Linked DNA regions of Mus musculus: all the other regions are reported to be linked to region 2. Evidence: microRNA targets listed by miRTarBase, many of them from high-throughput screens and not tested one by one. Region 2 holds a microRNA gene; each other region holds the end of a gene's coding sequence.

The links. Region 2 holds the annotated microRNA mmu-miR-223-3p (UGUCAGUUUGUCAAAUACCCCA, at 2,770-2,791, opposite strand). A microRNA usually pairs through its seed, bases 2 to 8, with sites in the 3' UTR of a target mRNA and lowers its output. Matches are read on the target gene's strand: a 7mer-m8 pairs with bases 2 to 8, a 7mer-A1 pairs with bases 2 to 7 and ends in A, and an 8mer does both.
Region 1: the mRNA of Ttc4 is a reported target of mmu-miR-223-3p. Seed matches in the 3' UTR shown: 7mer-m8 at 3,767-3,773.
Region 3: the mRNA of Slc33a1 is a reported target of mmu-miR-223-3p. The part of its 3' UTR that is shown has no 7-base or 8-base seed match.

The regions. Positions count from the first base shown.
Region 1 is chr4:106,658,545-106,663,617 of GRCm38, forward strand. Ttc4 (tetratricopeptide repeat domain 4) reads right to left here. Exons shown (of 10, transcript NM_028209.2): 10 at 3,264-4,687. The coding sequence ends at 4,591. Among named protein-coding and RNA genes, the nearest start is that of Pars2, 10 kb to the left of the region's middle.
Region 2 is chrX:96,240,602-96,245,674 of GRCm38, reverse strand. It overlaps Mir223 (microRNA 223), which reads right to left and starts at 2,858; the gene lies at 2,749-2,858. F630028O10Rik (RIKEN cDNA F630028O10 gene) reads right to left here. Exons shown (of 3, transcript NR_030718.1): 3 at 2,033-4,637.
Region 3 is chr3:63,938,824-63,943,896 of GRCm38, forward strand. It overlaps Slc33a1 (solute carrier family 33 (acetyl-CoA transporter), member 1), which reads right to left. Exons shown (of 6, transcript NM_015728.5): 6 at 3,500-4,593. The coding sequence ends at 4,426. Among named protein-coding and RNA genes, the nearest start is that of E130311K13Rik, 12 kb to the left of the region's middle.

The DNA.
Region 1 (5,073 bases), not on the chromosome of region 2:
TTTAAGGCTCTGTAAGGCAGGAGGACAACTCTGGCTCACAGCGCTTCACTGACTATTGTAAAATGGCCCGTGGAAGGGATCTTCAGGGTTTGCAAGCTATAAAGAGAGGATGTATGTGTGATCTCTCATTACACAGTGAATACAGATACAGAAATGCCACACTACATTCTCTAAGAATACCCAATTACTATGTGCCCGTTTAAATTTTTAAAATATTTTTAGCAAATACTATATACCTTAGAAAAGAATTATCTGGATGTTTACAGTCTAATCACACACTAAAAGCAGAGAATTTTCACTGGCTGGAATCAGATGTGGCAAGGGAATCTCAGGACTTAGAACATGATATGCCATTGGGCTCTTACTTACAGAGACCCAGGAACCAGAAGAGCCTCTCCCCACCTCCGAGCTAAATACAGCCCCACTGAGGACCAGTAAGGCAAGGGGACTTCAGTTCTCAACCTCGGTGAACTGTATTCTCCCAATGCCTAAACAAGCCTGGAAGCAGGTTCTTAGAACCCCTAGGAAGAGCCCAGAAGGCCAACATCTGTACCTCAGCCTTGTAAATCCTAGAGCAGAGATAACAGCTGAGCCAAATTACATTTGTGGCCATAGGACTGTGAGGTAATATGTCTGTACTGCTAACGGAGAAGACAGAATGGAAGAAAAAAATGAAAGAGAAAAACTCAGTGGGAGCCCCGCTGACAGAGGTTGCAGGCTCTGGCTGGGGCAGAGCACATTCCCCTAGCCAAGCAGGCTGGGATGCTGCTGCTGAACGGAGTAATAACTACCAGGACTATACCATAAGCTTAGACTGAGTGATGCAAAGGCCCCTGTGCCCGAGAGGCCAGACTAGTCTTGGCAGTCCTGCTGTCTCTGAATGGGTCAGTTCAGTCTTGAGTTCAAGTCCTGCTCCACTTTTTATTGGCAGGTTGTTTAGACTCTCCATGCCATCTTTATACATTGCTTGTTGCCTAGATGTGTGGGAGGTTTGGGGAGCCAGTTGGCACCAAGCACCTAGAATGCTGCTGGCCTGGCTGGGTGCTCAGTAGGTGGCTGCTTTCTCCAGGCAGCAGTAGTTGCTGTCGCAGCATCCTCCCTCCAGGGTCTGTGGCTTTGCTCGGACTGTCCACCTCACTCCTTCACCTTTATAGCCCAAGTCTCCCATAGGTGCTGGCTTCAACCTCTGACCTGTCACAATGAGTCACCCTTTTCCTGAATTCCCAAGCCTATGACTGCTTGTGGTTCATTGAGATGCTGAGCAGGTGCAGTGCCAGGCCTGACACATATAAAAGTGCAGCTTGGGCCCTAGATGCAGTCCACAAAGTCGGATGACCCAGCCGGTAAGTTAGTGCTGTGCCATGTGCTAAGGGCAGTGATGGTGATGGTGCACAGCCACAGAGTAAAGACCTAAGCAGCCAGGGAGGCCTGCCTGGAGGAGGCAGTAGGACAGCAGCAGGCTGGGCACTAGAGAGGAAAAAGGAACAGTGTGTCAATGTCTGAGGCTGAGAGTGGGAAGGCTGGGGGATCAACAGTCACAGATCAAATCCGTGCTATAAGTTGTGTTCCATGGGTTTCACTAGGTTAACGTGTTCCATCCTCAGAGTACCTGCCCGTGTAGCAGATAAGGAAGAAGAACAGACAAGTCAGGCCAAGCGGTACCCAACGCCTACCAATGGGGAGCGTGGGACTGGAACTAGAAGGCAGCCTAGCTCAGAGGAGCAGACTCCTGGTTACCACACCACCTGCTATGTAACTAACTATGACCGGGACAGACAGGCTTTGGAGACAGCAGGAAAGCAGCAAGATGTCCGGTGGTGAGAGCCTTGCATGCCACACCAGGCGTGCTGAGGGAGTGGAGGCCTCAGGGCTCCGGCTAAGGATGAGAACATGCTTGCTTGTTGTGTCTGTTTCTCCCCCTTGGAGCAGTTGCCAGCCCAGGGTCAGATTCACTACATCCACTGAGCAGTATGACCCTAAGTCAGAGGCTGCATGTAGTTCTTCAGCCCTAAGTCCACTGTGGGCACGGGACAGATGCTTGTAAGGCATGGAAACACAAGGATGCAGGGAAGGCTTGAGTCTCCCGCTCTATTTCCCAGTCTATGGGTGCTGGGGAGGGGACGTGTGGTTCCGATCTGGGCTCTGACACTGCTTCTTCTCCATCCTGATGCCACAGGCCAGATCTGGGGTGACTATAAGGATTAAGTAAGAGAACTCAGTGAAGTTGGTAGTATCAGAATGCAGCATTTGGCCTACTTTGTGTGCCTGCTGACGGTGATTAGGGGCTTTGTCCCTCTCATCTCTAGTTGTCACCCACATCCTCAGAGGCAACCAGACATACACCAGGCATCCTTCCTCCACCCTGGTTCTGGGAAGGCAGCAAGCCCTGAGGGCTCTGCCAGGAAGAGTCCCAGGAACAACTGAGAAAGGCTCAGATTTGGGAACATGTACCGTTCCCTGCATTCCACCTCCTCTGGAGGGCGTCCATCCCCGTAACTCTCCCCCTCCACATAACAAGAAAACAAAAACAAAACAGGCAGGGAAGGCTTGAGTCTCCCGCTCTATTTCCCAGTCTATGGGTATGGTGGCCAAAGGGGAACCAGGTAGAATCTGGCCCACATCTTGCTCAGGAAGCAGGCTCTTCACAGATTTCCACCACACTCTTCAGAGTGTACAGAAACTTTGTTTCCAAAAAATTGTTTTTTTCTTTCTGGTTTAGTGAACATCTCTCCATGTCTATCACTGGCAATTTGGGCTAGATCATCATTCTCTTTGTGGCATGCATCATAGGAAATTAAAAGGTATGTCTGGTCTGGTCTCAACCTTCCTAATGCCAGCAGCACACACCAGGTTATGATGTCATCTGAATGATGTCATGCAGAATCACCCACTTGTGAATCTACCAGACTGTGAAACAGTGCTTTTGAAGAGAGCTGTTCACTGAGGACATACCACTCCTGGGCTGAGACCTCACATGCACGGGCTACAAGCAATGTCAAGGAAAGATGATCATTTTACAGTTGACAGGAGCTTTAAGCAGCAGACCTGGCTCAAGCCTACCAATGGAGCTCTTGGTGCATGCTCTCCCTGAGGTAGTCTGAATGAGAATGGTCACCACAGACTCAGATATTTCAGTGTTTAGTCTGCAGGTGATAGAACTGTTTGGGAAGGATTAGGAGGTGATGGCCTTGTTGGAGGAAGTGTGTTGTCTTAGTTAGGGTTTTACTGCTGTGAACAGACACCATGACCAAGGCAACTCCTATAAGGACAAAATTTAATTGGCTGGCTTACAGGTTCAGTCCATTAACGTCAAGGCAGGAACATGGCAGCATCCAGGCAAGCATGGTGCACGCAGAGCTGAGAGTTCTACATCTTCATTTGAAGGTTGCTAGTGGAAGACTGACTTCCACGCAGCTAGGATGAGGGTCTTAAGACCACACCCACAGAACAGAGACACTTTTAGGCCCCTCACATAGACTTTGAGTTCTTAAAAAGGAAGTCAGAGGAAAGTCTCTGACTGAGGAGAGAATGTCTGCAGTATTTCCAAAACGTGTGTGTGTGTGTGTGTGTGTGTGTGTGTGTGTGTGTGTGTGTTGGGGGTAGGGTTTAGTGGATTTACAGGGACCTGCTCTGGTAAAGAAAGCTGCACTTGTCTCCCTAAATATTTCAAACAATTTCTCTTCAAGAAACAAGGACACAAACAACACAAGATCTCATATTAGCCCATCTGAAGGCCACCAGCTGGTTTCAGTTTAATAATGTATTAGTCAGTTTTCCTATATTGACGAACAATCCCCCAAATCTCAAGTGTTTACTACAAACACATTTGCCACTCATGTAACAAACAATGGCTTTAGGCCAGCTGCTGTGGGCTTTGCTCAGACACCAGGACTACTCCTATTTCAGAAATGAGACCTCACAATAAAGGGAAAACAACACAAGCCTACTTGCAAACCACTGCCCATTGACTCCTCAAGCTTCTGTCAGATGTGGCACAAGCCCTTGCATGGGCATTGAGAAGTAGAGAATCCAGTAGGGCTCTGAGTAGTCCCAGGATCCAAGTTTATACAGTCAACAGAACAGGATGTGGCTTCATGGCTGCAGTCACTTCATGGCATCCACAGCATCTTAGCTTTCCTCCAGGCTGGTGAAGCAACTGAGCCAGTCTTTCAAGCCTTAAGGCCTTAGAGTATGTGCAGGGCTGGTTTATTGCCTTGGAGTTGTGCCTTCTGTATGTGCCCGATGCCACAAAGGTTAAGACTGTCACTGCATCCTGCGACAGTCTCTGGGCTAGGGAGTTACCAAGGCCAGCTATTCTGGTAACTGCAGTGGATGATTTTTTCAGAGATGGACTCCAAAGATGTACTGGCCAGGGCAGGGCTGTGAATCTGAGGAGAGTGCGGCCCAGCTGGAGCCCAGCACTCAGCCAGACAGGCTTAGGTTCAGGGGGTCCTGCAGCTTCTTCCCCAACAAGAGGCTGGGAACCACTGTCCCTGAGGATAGAGTGCTACACTCTAGGCCAGATGATTCCCGTGTACAAAGTCCAGCAGAGGAAGTTGAGGGAAGAGACCCCAGGGTCTGGCTCCCATGTTACCTGTGCACCTTCTTCCCCTGGAGGTAATTCCTACAGAAAGGCGAGGATCCTACACAGACCAGGAATGCCGGGGTAAGGGCCTTCACGCAGCACCTGCAGGGAGCACAGCAGAGTGCTTAACTGCATTATAAGCGCCATTATCCCTGGACCTTCCCAGCCACACTCCAGGTGAACCTCGGATGTACACAAACGTTAAAGTACAACTTAGCACATTTGTTTGTCTGAATATTCCTAAGTCTGCAGACAGCATGACGGCAGTCTCCCCTTAAAACTCTGGCATCAGGCACACATAGGGCTAAACATGAAAGAAGACCACAAAACAAGCTATCAGTTCGTTCCATATTCTGGGAGTGACTAGTGTAAAGCAGGCTCTTACTGACTTGCGGTTACAGTCTGTATCCCAACAAGCCAGGTTTGCCCACCCGTTCCCACTGCGGTCACACTGAATAAATCTCTCGCCTTTAAAAAACAACCAAACC
Region 2 (5,073 bases):
AGCCAGGCTTGCCTTTATTTCACTCTCTAAATTAGGTAGGCTTTGAACTTGCCACCTGCCTTAGTCTCCCAAGTAATTGGAATGATAGGCCTGTAACTCTAATCCAAGCTTTGGTTTTTGTTGTCTGTTTGTTTCTTGGTTTGTCTTTCACCTTCCAACTCATGCCACCTCCCTTCTCATAATATGGATAGCCCTATCTAAAGCAAATCAATTTTTGCTTAAATAGTATTCTACATAACATCCACTACCCAGTCCATCTTTCTATCTTCTCTACTTTGTGACTCTTCTCGGGGCAACAGGAAGATTGTCAAGAAGCCTCACATCTTTATCAACGTACTATGAATGTACAAATAAAGTAGTTTCTGTCTTTTCAAAGTCTGTGTATAATATCACTAAAATATCTGGACTAGTTGCATTGGTCATCTTTTCTCCTCAATTCTTTTTATAATGTGAAGAGACTTTTTTAAAATTTTATTAATATAGGTTGGTTTATTTGAGAAAGTGGTAAGATGGGTTTCAATGTTTTTTAAAGCTTTATGCATATAAATGGGAAGAGTAAGAGATTATTTCTTAATTGATGGAACGGGGTGGGGGGAATGAAGAAAAGTGTAGGGAACAGGAGGGTAGGGGAAAGGAAAGAAGGAACTCTATGTACTTTGGAATGAAACTCCCTTGTAAAGAAATTGTTTGGGGCCACGTTTGCATTGCTTCCTTTCCCCCCATTTATTTCATGTCGAATCAACTTCCTAAATTTTCATGGGAACTACCATGTTGCCTATGTAGTCTGCATATGCACAGGATCAGATCAGGTTTCAACAAGAGGTACTCCCACTTTGAAATGACTGCAAAAGTCAAAATAGTACACAAAAGTGATTGACAGTCTGCCCTATTTTACCCCCACTGATGCTGCCAAGTCTATGACCAAAATCTCAGCATTTTCTTCTTTGACAAATGCTAGCTATGCATAATTAGTGTCAGAGATGACTTCTTCTTCTCCATCTCACTTACCAGCCTCCACAACCTGGGTACCACCCAGTAGAAACCTCAGCTTCCTTCATGAAACATCTGTGAGTCCAGCCCTGAAAGCCTTGAAAACACCCTTTATCTCATTCTGCTCTTTAGAATTAATCCCTGGGCTTGAAGAGAGAATGTTTATTGAAATTGCCCTAGTAAAGTGAGCCACAAATTCAGGGAACCCCCAACACTGGAACCACCAGGAATGTCTCCTATTCTTGCATGTGAAAATGTTTACAGATTACTTATCTGAACATTCACATACCACAAATTGGGAAGTGAAGCCCAGAGAGAAATGAAGGTTTGTCAAAAGTAACATACATCAAGTCAATGGCAGAACAAAGACTGGAGGTTAGACCTGTGGATTTTTAGCAGTGTGTGTACTTTGCTGCAGACATCTTCTGAAGATGGTCTTTGTCCCTAAACAATGGTATTTTTCCATGCAGGGTAAGCCAGTAAGTCATCCCTAGATAGAGATGCATCCCTCCGACAATTCTGAGCAAAATTGGGGTAACAATATGGGTCTTGTTATTTAGGTCACTGGTTAGTGGGTGAAAAGTTAAAGAATGAAAGTAGGTATCTCCAGAACCAAGGGAGAGTATGGAATTTCTCCAGAACCAAGGGAGAGTATGGAATTTCTCTAAAGAAGCTTGCCAAAATATATGTTATGAAATGTTAGACTCTGGAGAGAGGGATTGGAGATGCTTCATTTTATAGTTCTATATTAGAAGTTCACCCCAGTGCAATGATAGAATATTAAAGGCTCAGAAAATTCTGTTTAAAAAGACACGTGTAAACCAATAATTCAAAAAATTTTTCCCTCTGAGTCTATTCTTTCTTCTTGCCCTCCTGCCCCAGACCTAAATCTTATTTCTCAGAGGAAAAAAAAATCCATTTTGGTTACCATCTTGTATACACTATAGCATTAGAATACCCACAGTTTGATTTATTTTTTTCGCAAAACCCTGGTTGGTATTTGACCTATATAGCAAAAGGTTATTGACTAGTAAAACATCAATTAATTGGTAAATATTTATTAATAATTAAAATGTTGGACAATGGTATGAGAGACAGCAATCAACTGAATATAATAAGCTCTAGATTCTTACAATATAATAGGGAATTCAAGAACATACCCTGGAAAAATTCACTGACAACTTTAGAAGATGTGTTGGATGGTAGGACATATAATAGCACATACCAGTATGTGGTTAGCCAAGGAGTAAAGAAAAGTATAGGTTAACTTTCAATAGTGCCAAGAGGAATTGGAATTTGGTAGTGTCTGAAAGCCCAATGAAGATAAACAAGAAGGTTCTTTTAAGAATGATAAAAGCAAAGTGGAAAAGAGAAAATGTAGGTAGCTTAAGATGTGCTCCGAAGGCCAGACAGTGGATATTTATTTCCTACTTTCTCATAGAATTCATGATGCTTGTATGAAAATTCTGCTATTCTGGCTGCAAGAAGAGGAAAGTGAAAGAAGACATTAATAATAAATCAAATAATACTCTCATTCCCTGTATCCCTCATGTACCACTATGCAGTCCATGGCATTTTCACAATGTACACAGATGCATACCAGACTTGTAGACCCCAGAGCTGCATCGTTCCTACTCTGATGTTCTCTGAATAAATGTTATAGTTCCCTTAAAGACATAGAATAACACCAGAGAGCTTCATGTTTCATAAGCATTCATATGTAGGCAGCAGGCTATGTGCTCTGTCCTGGACCTGGAGCTGATAGGCATGAGCCACACTTGGGGTATTTGACAAACTGACACTCTACCACACAGAGTGTCCAACTCAGCTTGTCAAATACACGGAGCGTGACACTGCAGATGGCCAGATCAGGAACCTCCACTGGGCAGCAAGAACATGCTGGAAGATGTGCAACTGGAAAGAGAAAAAAATAGGGTGATTATATCTTACCCTAAGTGTGAGACAAATGGCAGACACTAACATGACTGACTAAGACACACCAAAAGAGGGAAGTGAACAAAACACGCTAATGCTCCAAACAAAAACGGGGATCCTGGGTGTTTGTCTGGAGATTCTGGTGGCCCAAGCCTCAATTAACTCTTCTATTCAGCTGAAACAGGAAAAAATTGTCATCATTCTGTCCTCGGGGACAATTTATGTGTTCCTTCCTCCTATCAACTTCTTGTATGCTCTGTTTACCCTGGTTATGTACCTAGATGTTGATTTTTAAAACTGGATTTGAATTCTACCTCTACCATTAACTAGCTGAACACCTTAAATAAATGAGTTTATGTCCCTGAAACCTACTTCTTCCATAGCCACAAAAATGCCCATGAAATCATGGCAAGAATATGTAATAATGCATATAAAGCCATTAATTTAGTGTTTGTTACCTAACAAATACTCAAAAATTGTGGCTATAGCCAGGTATGATAGTACATGTGTGCATACAAGCTTTCATAGACAGAGATAGGAGAACCTCAGATTTAAAGTCAATTTGGGCTATATAATACTACCCTTTCTCAAACAAAAAAGTAAACAATCAAGATCTAGAGATAAAACTCAGTAGCAGAACACTTACCTAACTTGTACAATACTCTGTATTTGATCCCCTGTACATAAATAAAAGTGACTAAAATGTGCTTTAAAATTAAACATATAAGATAGATACTAACAGGGGAAAAGATAGATAATTTATTTAACAGAATTGAAACAGTAATTTCTTGTGGCCTTAGCCGGCTTTGTCTAACTTGGTTGCCTTTTCTCATAAGCAGTAAAGAATTAATGATATTAAAATGCCCTTATAAGTCATCTAGTTTTACCCATTCAAGATTATAAATGAGAAAATGAAGTCTGATGTTTAGGGAAAGACTTCCAAAAGGTCATAAAACAAGTTGTTTACAGTTTGGGAATTATATCATCCATCAGCTCATTGTGTCCCTTGGCTGTCCACCCCACCACTTTTTCTTGTCTGCTTTTTATATTCCCTTGCAAAAGGGAGAGCAACAGCAACAAAGAGCAAAACAGGCAGTGGATTTTGCAGGGAAGTATTAAGATGTTTGAACTCATAGCTACCAGGGCAGCTGCCAGAAGAGCCAAGCCATCTCAATTTATTTGATATTTTGTTTAGCATCATGATCCTGTTATTCAAAATGCTTGATAGTATCAAATTTTGTCCTACCCAGGTTTAAAGTTTTCTTGGGCATCAATTGTCTTCTCTAGAAATAGAGACAGAAATCTTACATCTCAAGGTCTTGAAAAATGTTGGATGAGACTTCTAGAGCTTTTTAGAAGGGAGCTTAAAGAGACCTTATTTCCAACTCTGGAGCTAGTAAAAGCCAAGGAAAGTGATTAAAAGAGAAAGGAGTAATGGGTTATTGGTTTTGGTTTTCTTGACAGCATCTCTGCTTATCATCTGCTGTAAGGAGAGCTAGACACTTTAGAGATATCCATAGCCTCTCAATTGCCCTATCCGACCTCACATAACCCAAGAACACTGGAAAAGAGCCATGAAAGGGGCTAAAGAGTTCTAGTGCACTGACTTAATAGATTATTATAAATACTGTTTTCCAGGATTGATGGAGAAGTCAGTCCTTAAGCTGGGTAAGGGACTATTTCATTTTCATTCTTGATGTTCCAGTTCACACCTATTCAGAGGAATACATATAAGAGAAGCAAGTTTAGTTGATTAAAGTTAGTCAGACCCATAAGAATGAAGACATAGATGACTACATAGTCAGTCTTCATGACGCAAATTGAAAGGCATAAGCTTGGTAAAAGAGGTATAAGATTTTACCAAAAATCTATAAATGTCCAGAATAAGCCACATATCAGAAAATATATTTGGTGATAAAGAAGTACTCAGGACCATGTCTTAATATCCAGATTTTTTTCAATATAAGGAGAGTCACCTGCCTCAGTTGCAGGATACCCATTATTTCTTGGTATCTCAGTCCTCCTAAAGCAGAAGAAAAAGGACACTGTCCTGGGCTTAGACTGAGTTGTAGTACAGGTTTTCTGTGTGGCCTTGGGAAACTACCTTTTCTTCTCTCAGGACCTCTGTTCCTCACATATATATTTGTC
Region 3 (5,073 bases), not on the chromosome of region 2:
CAGGGACAGATTCATTGGTTCACCACGGCCAACTCTCACCTGCAGGTAATCAATAAGAGCCATACCAATCTGTCAGAGTGATAAAAACCTACATATATTGGACTTTGGATAATAGGTAAAGAGTCCCAAAATATGAATCTGGGGTTATATTTGGCAGCTGTATAGAAGCCCTAACCTCTTCCAAAGAGAGGAAAAGAAATCTTCGTTCTTAGTTGAAAACAGATTATCCTAGGGTGCCAAGTCCTGCTTGGTCATGTGTAAGTGATGGCATGACATGGTTCCTGGCCCTGGAACAGAGCCAACAGGGTGTGGGCCCCCTCAAGTGTGGATAGCTACTGTGGGTTAAAGGCTTGTTTGTATAACAGTGTACATATTTTCACATTTCTCCTTTGAGGAATGTCCTCTCTTTCGATATTAATGACTCCATGATAATCAGAGACAGCATGGGTCCAGGAGGCAAGGGCATGTCTATATCTCAGCAAAATGGTTGAATGCTGTGACCATTAGGGCAGCCTTTAAGGGTGTGGGAAAGAATGCTGAAAACATGAGTTTGAAAATACATACATTCTCAACTATGCAAAATGTAAGGATGTAATATAAATTAAATAAGGAGTTTCACAGATCTAAAGGAACAGAGGCAGCTGCACTGTGAGCCAACTTGTCAAAAGGATACTAAGTGTGGGAGATAAAGAGATTTAGGGAATGGTGATTGCAAGGCAATATTCCACTGTGGGTCTGCATTTCCACCTTGCCACTGCGGTGTTGAACCACTTGCTGACACACTGCTCAGGGTAGGCAAAATGTAGTCTAAGATAGGGGTCCCAGCCCATGATCTTCCAGGTGAAAACAAGCAGGGGGCTGGAATAGAGGAGGTTCTCATGTTCCTGAGCACCCAGAAGCCACTGAGAAACATGAAGAGTTGAGAATCTCTTCCCCCCACCCCACCCCACCCCACTCCAGTCCCCTAGCAGTTCCTGATAAAGACAACAGGATTTGCTTGTCCAAAGTACCTTTATTCATGGCAGATGAAGATGTATAAGACTTACTCGGGGTGAAACAGAGATTAAATGCTCTTTGCAGGAAGGAATATTCAGGAAGAGAGTTCAGTAGGTAAACACTTGGCTCCCTTCTAGATACCTCATTAGCATGAAGAACCCTAAGTTCTATGCTACCTGACCAGTTGTCATGGTCTTCTTAATGGGGTATCATGGCCTCGTACTCCAGGACAGGAAATCTGGTTGGGAGCTAGTTTGATCTCCTACTGTTCTCAATTATAAATTTTGTCATGGTCCTAAACTTTGCTACTACCTTACCAGTTCTGTCTGGTGGTTCAATCCACTGGGCCACATCCCACCTAGCTAATTTATTTTATGGTAACAAAGGCAGGTGGACTGTGCAAGTCACAAGTGTAAGGTCAGTCTGGGATAGAGCTAATTTAGGTCCAGGCATAGTTTGATGGCAATTTCAGGGCAGGGTCGGGAGGGGTCCCACTCAGCTAACTTATGTCTGTTCTTCTTTGCTGTCTCTAAGAATCAAGGGGCTGGGGACCTAGAATACTGACTCAGGGGGTAATAAAAAAAGAACATGGATAATAATTGAATTAATACATAAAAGACTGGGCTTTTGATTTATAAGAGATGAGCTAACAAGAGAGTTTTTAGAATTTCAAAAAAGCCTGAGCAGAGAGCTTTCTGGATATTTATACACACACACACACACACACACACACACATTTAGAGAGAGAAAGAGAGAGAGAGAGAGAGAGAGAGAGAGAAAGAGAGAGAGAGAGAGAGAGAGAGAGAGAGAGAGAGAGAGAGAGAGAGAGAAACCACAAGCAGAACACAGAGGGCAATCCAGAAAACTATCTCCAGCAGAACACAGGCTGTCAGCTTGGACCCACATTTTGACTTCAGGTCATTTGTTTTGCCTCTCTCAAACACCCCTTCTCTCAGAACCACTCTCCAAGACAGGCTGGTCCTTGGCACTATGGGAGGCTTTTGGGCTTTAAAATATTTGTTTCTAGAAAGTAGACAAAATTCTATTTCATCAGATTTGCAAAATCAAGATGCCTCCATGGCACCAGGTGCCATCTTCCTTTGAAATGTTTATATACAATAAATCCTCTTTGGGACTGAGTTGAGTGTCCTGTCAAAATCTGAAAAAAACTGAAGTCCTAACCGTCATTATCACTGCATTTAGAAATAGGGCTTTTAAGAAGCTAAGTTTAAGGGGGTAGGGAGAATAAGGATAAGCCTTGACCACTCAGAACCAATCCAAGAGGAAGAAAAACCAGGATTACTGCATATAGTGGAAGAAGGCTGTGTGGAGACACATTGGGAGAGTGACTCTCAACTACTCTCAACTAAAGACCTCAGGAGAAACTTCTGCCAATACATTAATCTTGGATTTTCAGCCTCTGGAATGAAAGTAAACAAATTTCTCTCAAGCTACCCAGTGTTGGTACTTTGTTATGAATCCTATTGTAGTGTGAATCTGGAATATCTCTTTTAGGCTGTTCTTGTGTTGGCCCCCTGCTTGTGGTGCTATTTTGCATGCCACAGAAGCTTTAAGAGGTAAAATGTGGCTGGTCAAAATGAGTCACTAAGACCTGAGAGTTTTCCTGTTCCTGGTACTGACCCATCATGAACTTTCTCCTTCCTGTCTTCTGTCTTCTCAACAAGGAACTATGGTTCCTAAAGCAAGGCTCAGACATCCTGCCATGTATCCCAACTGTGATGGACTAATATTTTTTCAAAACAGCAAAGCAAAAAACTCTCTCCTCCCTTGGACTCTTGCCAGGAAATGTGTCACAGTGATGGCAGAAGCAACACCTCACCTCCCTAGTGATTTACACAATCTGCCCAGTTTCTCACATTTCCTGAGTCATCCAGCTTCCCAGGCCTCTCCTTCAGCACAGGTTCTACTATGCCGAAAGCCTGCCTTTCCTTCCTGAGTGCTGGGACTAAAACATACCACCGTGCCCAGCTCACCTCCTTGTTTTCCTTTTGAGACAAGATGGTATATAGCCCATATATTCACCATACATTTTGATGAAATTCATAGAGACATTTTATTAAAAAAATGTCTGGATTAGTGATGTGCACTTTTAATCTCAGCACACAAAGTTAGGTGAGTGTGAGTTTGAGACCAGTCTGGTTTACAGAGTGTTCCAGGAAAGTCAGAGCTGTACAGTTAAGCCCTGTCTCAAAGCCTTGATAGCATGTAGAGGATATAGCATGCTGGAAACTGCTGTTGTACTTGCTTCTAATTCTCCCAGTCTAGCAAGTCTCAACTGAGCCTTATTCTTTACAGATGAAAGCCTGTGTTTTAAGAAACAGGAATATTGTTCGTGATTTGGCATAAAGTAATTATAAGAATTTTTTACTAATAAAATGCTTAGTTAAGATTAAGGAAAAAAATTAAGAAATAATCTCCCACAGAGTGATTTAATTTGTTAAAGGCAAACACACACACAAATCTCTCTTTTTAAAAAAACAGCTTTGAGATTTATAGTGTTACTCATTTAAATTTTATTTAATTATAAGTTTACATTTTCTTCTCATGGTAATTAAAAAAAACTACAGTAAGAATGACATTAAATTTTTATTTTTACAACTCAGTCATAATCACAAACACACCACAAACTTGATCCCCTCATTAGTTGTCTGTGTGTCATGATGTATTTGTGACAAAATCATATGTAAACCTAGGGCAAGAGTTAACAAGAAATCAAAATAGCTTCCCCCAAAGGGAGGGAGAGATAGGGAAATCAATAAATTAAAAACCATAGCTCTCATTTTATAAAAAAATAGTTTGGATAATCTTTTTATAAATCTTTCATGCTTACAAAAGCAGAAAGTACATTTAAAATAGTTATTTTTAACAGATTCATTTGTACAATGTGGTTATAGTCAGAAAAACAACTCAATGTTTTAGTAGTCTACATTTTCTTTCAATCAAATTTCACATACATTTTTACAAATTTACAATTCAAAGTGAGAATTAACTTCCAATAAGGTTAATCTAGTTAGTGAGTACCTGCATATTAAGCTTTGCTCCACTTGATACATTGTACCAACATGTTAAATACGACTCAATGACAGGCACTAACAATACTTGGCAGCATGGTGACCACCCATGACTATTCCACTGCAGCTTAAAATATGCTTTGGTCAGTAAATTAACAGAAATCAAGTAATAAAACCAAAAGGGTTGTTTCCTAGCCTTAAGTAAACTTTCAATACATTGATAAGGCAAAGGAAAATATAATCAAACATACAAATACATCTGTACTTTTCAACTATTTGGCATTTTAAATTAAAAATTTCCTAAAACGGTATTTTACACTCCTACACACTGATTATCATTGCTTTCTTGGTAACACTAAGCTACAGTTACCTTCTAGAATGTCCAGTAATGTTGGCATCAGTTGTTCCTTTTGCACTTCCATGAGGATGGTCCTTCATCCTGTAACTTTTTAAATTTTGGACCAAGAAAGAACCACCAACCAAATCCAATGAGAACACAGATAATGGATTCCACATAGTAACCATCCAGAGCTGTAACACACGAGCCTCCAAGTTTTTTGCAAAGCTATAAAAACAAAATTATAACAAACATTCTATAACTTTTTTTTTTCTTATTGCTTGCTTTATAGAGACAGGGTCTCAGATGGCCTAAGCTAGCTTCAAACGATGTACCTAAGGATAACCGTGAACTTCTGAATCTCTCCTTCCACCTCTCAAGTGATGGGATTATAGGCATGCATCACAAAGCTTGATTGTAGGTGTGCATCCCAGAGCTCTGTGTGTGCTAGGTGAGCATTACACCAACTGAGCTATATTCAGGGCCCATATTCTGTGATTTTTTTTAAAATATGGAAACATTCAATAATTAATGTTTCTATTTTGTAATTAAAGAGATTAATCAAGTACATTTTGAGAAAATATTTCAATACTTCATTTATTGTAAATGGTAAGATAAATTGAAGTCTTATTTCCTTATTTTTGGACAAGGTCTTAGTACGTGGCTCACGCTTTTCTGTAATACAGACTGGCCTCATATTCACAATTC